2 linked regions of the Arabidopsis thaliana genome follow. The protein of the gene in region 2 interacts with the protein of the main gene of each other region in a pairwise test. Each region holds a gene or a part of one and is shown on either strand. Other genes may lie near its edges.

The links. The genes of interacting proteins can lie anywhere in the genome.
Region 1: the proteins of CSN5B (region 2) and AT2G47880 interact in binary tests that used the Arabidopsis thaliana proteins (3 or more experiments, as listed by UniProt).

Annotation. Positions count from the first base shown.
Region 1 is NC_003071.7:19,602,794-19,606,323, forward strand, and holds AT2G47880 (Glutaredoxin family protein), read left to right. Parts: upstream 1-2,236; 5' UTR 2,237-2,330; coding exon 2,331-2,639; 3' UTR 2,640-2,911; downstream 2,912-3,530. Other genes in the region: AT2G47870 (Thioredoxin superfamily protein), read left to right, coding at 546-857; AT2G47885 (uncharacterized protein), read right to left, coding at 2,438-2,575. UniProt on the Arabidopsis thaliana protein: Has a glutathione-disulfide oxidoreductase activity in the presence of NADPH and glutathione reductase. Reduces low molecular weight disulfides and proteins.
Region 2 is NC_003070.9:26,850,255-26,855,030, reverse strand, and holds CSN5B (COP9-signalosome 5B), read right to left. Parts: upstream 2,626-4,776; 5' UTR 2,472-2,625; coding exon 2,082-2,471; intron 1,972-2,081; coding exon 1,690-1,971; intron 1,619-1,689; coding exon 1,471-1,618; intron 1,367-1,470; coding exon 1,281-1,366; intron 1,039-1,280; coding exon 961-1,038; intron 869-960; coding exon 776-868; 3' UTR 612-775; downstream 1-611. Other genes in the region: AT1G71235 (uncharacterized protein), read right to left, coding at 1-8, 226-472; EBS1 (EMS-MUTAGENIZED BRI1 SUPPRESSOR 1), read right to left, coding at 3,301-3,495, 3,570-3,722, 3,899-4,013, 4,086-4,129, 4,209-4,349, 4,436-4,594, 4,725-4,776. UniProt on the Arabidopsis thaliana protein: Probable protease subunit of the COP9 signalosome complex (CSN), a complex involved in various cellular and developmental processes such as photomorphogenesis and auxin and jasmonate responses.

The DNA of each region.
Region 1 (3,530 bases), on a different chromosome or scaffold from region 2:
CTCAATTGCTGTGACCACACTAGAAAAGTATTTTGGCTCCCTCTCTAACAGGTTGGCCAAAACGTACCTAGATGTAATGAAAATAACTATATAATTACTACTTTATTAATCTGTAACAAAAACAAAAAGCCTATGTTTTTTTTTTATTAGATGACATTTTTAAACACCACACCAGTCAACACCAGATTTTTGCTTTTGACCTTTGTATATTATTATCATTTTAAATTATACGTTTGAATAACTAACTTACAAAAAAAAAAACAATAAATTTCAGCTTTTTGTCCATAAATTTATTCCAAAGAAAAACTACTATATATTGTGATGTATAAACAAATGTCAAGGGTATGTGATGCTGCTGCCTGTCGCAGACCGAAAGCGACACAACTTACCTTTTTTGATAACATACCAAACTATATAATTGATCGCGTTCATTTTCCGAAAATATATGCCGAATGCGGCGGGGCTATAAATAATAGTTTGATCGATCGGCTTGTTTATCATCCATACTCAAGGCCTCGAATTAACACTTCTTTGTCACATCGTCGATGGAACGAGTAAGAGATTTGGCATCGGAGAAGGCGGCTGTGATATTCACGAAGAGCTCGTGTTGCATGTGTCATAGCATCAAGACTCTCTTCTACGAACTCGGGGCGAGTCCTGCCATCCATGAGCTTGACAAGGACCCGCAAGGCCCTGACATGGAACGGGCCCTCTTCCGGGTATTCGGGTCTAACCCTGCTGTCCCTGCGGTTTTCGTAGGAGGAAGGTACGTCGGCTCAGCTAAAGACGTCATCTCCTTCCACGTGGATGGCTCCCTCAAGCAGATGTTAAAGGCCTCTAACGCCATATGGTTGTGACTACATATCATCACGCTTCTTACTATCATTTATTCTACACACACTAGTTCATATTATGTCATCTCGTGAATAATACATACATATATTTATCTAAGCTTGCATGAATATTGAATTATACTTTTAGTAACCATATATATAGAAGATTATGCATGCTCCGATGCTCGTGGAGATTAATTATCAGTTGATACGGAGAAACTAGACTGTAATCAATCATCACGTAAAGATTTCTGTTAATATCGGAATATCATCTGGATTTAGCATAATATCTTCCGATTATAGAAAAAAATGTACGTAGTATAATACCTAACCGATATACAAATGAATATCGAACGTAACTATGCTATAACTAGTATATATATGATCGTTTTTGAATCAAACATAAAAGAGAATCTCGCTCATGAAAAGATTACTACACCCACAAAACAATCGAAAAGTAAGCCAAGAATGACGCAGCAGAGTTAACATATGCGTGTGATTCACGCGTGCGTCCGGCAAGAAAGACATTTCGAGAGAAGTGAATCAAACATTAGTGTAAGTGTGAAAGAAGAATATATAAAAAAGAAAGATGGAATAATTTTCTTTGGCAAGTTGGTGTTGGCGGAATCACCATGTACGATGCATATTGTTGATACATATATATACATGTTTATCACCGAAAGGTCCAATCTTTTTCATTTATCCTCACTTTGCGCAATGACTCAATCAAAGGAGATATGTTGAGAGAATCCGTTAGATTATAAATTGACAAGCCTCTTTTCTTTTTCTAGGGGTATTAATCATGCTATATTTCTTGTCACATTGATTTGAATATCAGCAGTTTAAGAAAATCGCTTAGCCAAAAGTTATTAAGAAATCGTCTGATTTCTATCATTGTTGTAATCAATTTGATAAGCTAGCTTCAACTTTCATATCTATGTTAGTGTTTCAAAATTACTATCATATGCATTCCGTTCATACTTATTTCATCAATTAGTCCATGCATGCATGTGCTTATTATTTAGATTAATTATATTTATGTCACTGGCAATGCGTATACTATTATTAACCCACAAAAAGGTGAAACTGATTACAATTTTTCGAATCGTATTCGTAAATTACTAATCAACATGTTATGACGATCAAAACAACTGCAGCGTTACCGTAGAAATAAAAATAAATTGAATAACTTAGAAGTGAGAGTAATGTTTGCAACTTGTGCAGTCAAACAGAATATAAATAAGAAGAAAAATTCTCAAATAGGCATCTGATATTTTATCTTTCCTTTTTGATATTTTCTTAGAAATAAACTACATTTTAAATGGTCTTTTCTTTCTAATTAGCAAGAAAAAAACACACTCGAAAGACTCACTCCCTTCCTATAAATAGGCGAGCAAATGTCAAGCTTTTTACATACTCAAAACAAAACAAAACATACATCAAAACGCTAAAGTTTAAACCCCTAGCCATCATCAGATCTTCAGACTTCTGAGGATCATGGACAAAGTGATGAGAATGTCTTCAGAGAAAGGAGTGGTGATCTTCACGAAGAGCTCATGTTGTCTCTGCTACGCCGTTCAAATCCTGTTCCGTGACCTTAGGGTTCAACCAACCATCCACGAGATCGACAACGACCCGGACTGCCGTGAGATCGAGAAGGCTCTTCTCCGGCTCGGCTGTTCCACGGCGGTTCCAGCTGTCTTTGTCGGAGGCAAGCTTGTTGGCTCCACCAATGAAGTCATGTCCCTTCACCTTAGTGGCTCTCTTGTCCCATTGATCAAACCCTATCAGTCCATCCTTTACTAGCAAAATTAAACCAACTCAATATATAATATCTAATTATTAGCTAGTGAGAATAAACACAGTTACAGCTAGAGTGTGAGCTAGCTAGATATTCAGTGAGGACTTCGTCTGAATTAATGTTTATCGTTTGTATGTTCTATTGTTTAGCTTCTCTCGTGTTTCAGTTTAGTTAATCAACTGGTGTATGTTGATGTATGACTCTCTGTTTATGCTAATGAAAATAGTATTGAAACTTTTACATTTTTTCCCACACAATTAGTAACGATCTCTTGTGTATGTTGAGTAATTTAGGGCTTTCCATATAATAAGGCAAGAAACCGTTTATACTTGTCTGTTTTTAACATGGTATCAGAAGGAGGCTACACACAAACCATTTTCTTATTTAGAAATATTCACATACACTGACAGTAGCTAGAATAAAAATGTGAATGGCCAACACATGCATGAACTCGTCTTCTAATTATCAAGATGTAATGTATAAGTTGGCTTCATCATTATTAGTTAGACCTATTGATAGTTAACATTATATCGGGCGATATACAGATTTAGCCTTTGTGATGTTGTGTTTAGAGCGTACTTTTGAATCAAGGATAAATCAGTGCCCATTAGAGTATATATAAATCGAATGTGAAAAATATTAGATCAGAATAGACTTAATTAGTCTCCACCATACAAATTTGGTAAGAAGAAAAACAATGATAAGATACCAGTGGCCTAATGCAACTAAAGCAGTTTGAGGAAGAGGATGGAAGATCTTTCGCGGTCCAAGTATATCATGGCTACACAAAATCACTGCTCTTTTTGCGTTCCTTTATTCTTGAGTATCTTCACGTTTAATTTACTATTATTTTCTAATGAAAAATTGTACACCTTTTTATATATATGAACTCTTTG
Region 2 (4,776 bases):
ACTTTTCACTGTAAACCTATATAGCTCCCATGTTGAACCATTGTTCATAGCAAAACGTGGTATAAATTTATCACGTACATAGTTCCTTCGATGCCGTTCTTTAACCAGTTTCCAAACCCCTTGGTCGGGCACGAACAGCGCGAGAAACAGCCATATGCTATGTTTCTCGCTACATGTCAAATTTGTAGGAAACATATCCGTGCGGAGCTATAGACAATAACTGACTGTTTTCTTGAAGGTTTGGTATCCCCGGACTTCCACGAAGCTCCGGATAACTAAGGCTTTCTAAGATTCTCCGCAATACTACGTCTTCAAGTGTATAAGTTTGCCATGTTGTGTGAAGTGCGTTCTTGATAAGCTTGTTGAAGATGGTCAGGTTGGCAGTACATAGCTCCTTGTGGGCGTCGTCGTCGACAGTCCCATAAGGAACACTTTTCATCAACAAACAAAGACAGAGAAAGATGATTGCCATTGTTAGCCATGTTTTAGTACCACCTATTCACGGACAACGTGAGTGCAGAGAAGGAAAGAGAGAGGGGATAGAGTTGGAAAAGATCACTAGGTTTCTGATTTCCATAAATACAATTTTTGTTTAAGGGCTTAAGATTATTCCTTTAACCCCGACGAATCGAATGGGCTTAAAAACATTTCTTTAACCAAAATCTTCTTCTGTATTATTCTCATTAGCATTATAATTCTTTACACAACAGAAAATAAATGAAAGGACAACAAATGATGGGTCAATCCAAAACTAGAAACCAAAAGAAGAGCAACTTCAATATGTAATCATAGGGTCTGGATCCGACGAGTCAGTGGGAGATTTGTTGTTGGACTGACGCATTGAGTTGAATAATTCATCTTTTATGACCTACAAGTACAACAATGATGGATTTTGAGTCTGTGAAATACACGAACCTTAAGGGAGATATGTCACCATTTCGTTTCAATATTATTACTCACCTGCGACATTAGTCCATGGACCTGTTCCACAGTTATCTTTGCGCTATCCCGAGTTATCTTAGTTAGTTGAGACTCATCCTGAAAGTGATTTAGAACACACGTCAAATGAGATCTTTAACAAGCAACACCCATTAACATTCTCGAAAGTTATATATCTGTACAACCTTCAACAACACTTTCATTTCAACTAAACAGAACACCTCCAGGTCCCAATAACCAAAACATTTGAAGATATATCCTCTTAGTAGCTAGATGTTTACAGAGGCACTTAACTAGCCACCGTAATCGCAATTAAAATTTGATGAACCACTAGGACATACCTCTTTTTTCTTATGAAGGGATGATGGCACAACTCCTCCAAAGCGAGACTGAACCAGATGACTCTCGGCTTGCTCAAGCTTCTCAGCTTCATTGGTAAAATTACGAAAACGATTATATAACACATTACTTGACTGTGACTTGAGAAAAAAAAGTAAGAGTGAATGATTTAGGCCATATCCAAGAGTTTACCTAAGTCTGATATTTGTCCAGCAACATAGTCTCCATTACCCAGCAGTGGAGAAGAAGAAAGAGTGTTCACCCAGTACTTGTTCCATAGTAGATCCAGAAGGTGAGAATCAAGAGATGACTTGAAATAAGTGACATCTAATGAATAGTACTGCCAAAACCAAAAGCCAAACATAAGAATCATGTTGGGACCTTGCACCGAGAAAAATCAAGAAAATGTACCTGTTTGCAGTGAACACCAAAGTCCTCAATCTTATTTAAAGGAATAGTTTGATACTCAGAAACAGGTTCATCTGGAGGCTTATATCCTTTAGAGTATGTTCTGAAAGCACCAATCTCAACCTTACCAGCTGAAACAGTCCTTGTGGGATCAATAACAACAGCTAAAAATGGCTCCTGATGCTGTTGGTTAAGCCTCTGCGTAGAAACATCAATACCGGAGAGCCAGCATCCATATCCAGGGTGAGAGTGATACCATCCAACAACATTCTCCAGCCGCCCCGCCTTATAAAGGTCAAGTTATTATAACCATAATCAATCAAACTGTTCTGACTTATATACAAACTTTCTAAAGAAAAAAATCAAAACTTTGAAGTTTCTTGAATCTCACTTACGAGCTTGTTGGTCTGTGAATACTCAACCATGTACTCATAAGCATCATCCTGAGCATTAACCCTTGTCTCAGTACCTTCCACTGGTAAAGCAAAAGCATCCATAACAATGATAGTATCACCATCGGTCTTACCTTGCATAAGACCCATTATTTCAATTGTACCACCAGAGCGAGCGTGAACCACCATCTTAAGAAGAGCGAGCGCTGAGATCTTGACTCGTTTAAAGTAGTGAGGATCATTCTCCCACGGTTTCTCTTGCTGGAACCTAGTCTGTGAAGTATCGTCGTAGTAGAAGATGTTGTCGGAGGTTGAATCAGGTGAGTCTACTGTTAGAATGCTGTTCTCTAGTTCCCATGTCTTCCTTGCTATCGTCGACGACGAACCCTCCATTCTTTTTCGAATTAGGAATTCAGTTGCAGAAATCTAGGGTTTCATACGGAATCGATGGAGTGTGATCGATCTGTCTGCTGAAGAATTGAAAACTGTGTCAAAAATGTTACTTCGGGGATTGACTTATATATAAGAAGAGAAAAGTGGTGAAAATTAATTCCTCTGGATTCTTCTCTAATTTAGAAATAAAATTTAAAATCCTTTTAGTTTGTTTTTTTTTTTTTTTTTTTGACGGTATTAAAATCTTTTAATTGAATAACACAAAATTTTAAAATCTATTAAACATGATTTACAAAGATATAAACTCCAATAACACTAAATTTTAAAATTGAATTTAAAATCATTAATTAAATAACAGTGTATTAGTGTTGGATTTCTTTCTATTAAAATCCATTAATAAATAACGTCCCCTTGTAAAACCGTAGATTTCTTCCCTCTTCTAAAATAATTTATTGAATTACTTCAGCTTTTCTATCAGAGTGTCAGACCCTTTGCTAAAAGAACACGTATTGCTTTTTATACAGACACTGACACGTCAGTTTTCCGGTTCGGTTTTTTTACTGGTTTGTCGGTTTGGTTTGATTTGAGATTTTGGACGGACGAGTTTACAAATACGTTATGAGTGACTATGTTTGTAATTGATTCAAAATCATATTATACTGATATTCTTATTCTCCTGCAATCTGTTGACTTTATCTTCTGTCTAATTTATGTGAGAGATGTCTAAGAAACTGTAGCTACAAAACTAGAAACCTTATCTAGCAAATGCAAAATAGCCATGATTGTCTAATTTATCTTCTCCTCTTTTGAAACTTCAGGAGCATTGAATTTACAGTTCTGCTTTAGATTCCAAGTCTTGTTCTGTATCTTCAGAGATGTCATTTGATGGAAGAGGATTAGGCTTGTCTGTAGCAGGAGCAGCTACTGGCTCGTTGAGTTCCACATCTTCACCCAAGATTTTTGCTGTGAATTTTCGTGCTTCGAGATCAAGATCGGGCCATTCGGTTACGATTCTTCGGGCACCCTGCAGAAGAACACCGCATTATAACAAACAACGCTTTGTGAGTGTTGTAGATATGAGGAAAGCCATCATTTTACCTGAAGCTTTGGTTCCTTTGTCATGGGATTATTGCAAAGATCGATTGTTCTGGCCTTGGCTTTTGTGGCGTTTCCACACCAGGATTCACACCACAACCACTCTTGGGGAAGTGAAAATATAGGAACAGTATGCTGAGCATAATTAGGAAGATCCTGAAACAAAATAATGACATGCCATCAATATGTTTGAACCTGGAACTCTAAAGATTCAGAGCATGGTGTATGGTAAGAGTCAAATGCAAAAGCCTTTCAAATAAAGTAAAACGATAGTGTGACCACCAAAGAAAGGTTACAGCCCTAAGTATAGAGAACCATATTATACAACTTGCCTGATCTAGGTTGGACAAACTGTTTGGATCCTTGCTAAGCGTCTCATAGAATACTCTTAGATTATCTCCTGCCGCTGTCTCTCGGAACTTAACCAAGTCAACAACGTATAGAGCACTACAGATAGAACAAGGCACATTAAGAATGGGAAAAGCAACAACTTACTGAGGTTCAAGTAGGTTTTTTTACCTGATATGGTATGGCCTACCACGTAAATGTTCTTTCCAGAAACCCTGTTCAAAGCAATTGAGAATGTAAGAGTATGGAAACCAAAACTACCTCTACAAGCAAAACAAAAAGATTAATGTTTACCTGTTTCCAAAATTTATAGCCATCCATTTCCCTGTTGTTGTCACAAAAAGGAGTATACGCGAGAGGTCTTCCTTTAATATCCATATCATACAGTTCTCCCATGTCTGTCCTTATAATTTGATCTGCGTCGACAAATATAACCTACAGAACACATGTCGAATACCTTATAGTGACATCTTCCAAGCATCAAAATCGCAAGAAAGAAATGAAAATATGATCATCTGTACCTTTTCCAATGAGAGAGGAAATATGACATCAAGGAAAAGAATTTTGTAGGCCCAAATAATTCGTTGCTTTTCTTTCTGTTTATGCAACCAGGACGGCCATTTGTATGTAATCAGCTCATACTCAAAGTTGTATTCTTGTGCCATATGTGGAATCACATCCTGCAAGATTAGAATGCGATACACATTAAGTTAATGTGGCTACAAGATAAGTTCACATCTAGAGATAAGAAGACATATATAGATACAAACACAAAAGGCATATGTGGAAGCAAAGAAACAAGGAGCCAACCTTAAATTGAGGAGAGAGATAATTCTTAATAAACCAGAATTTTACAGGACGA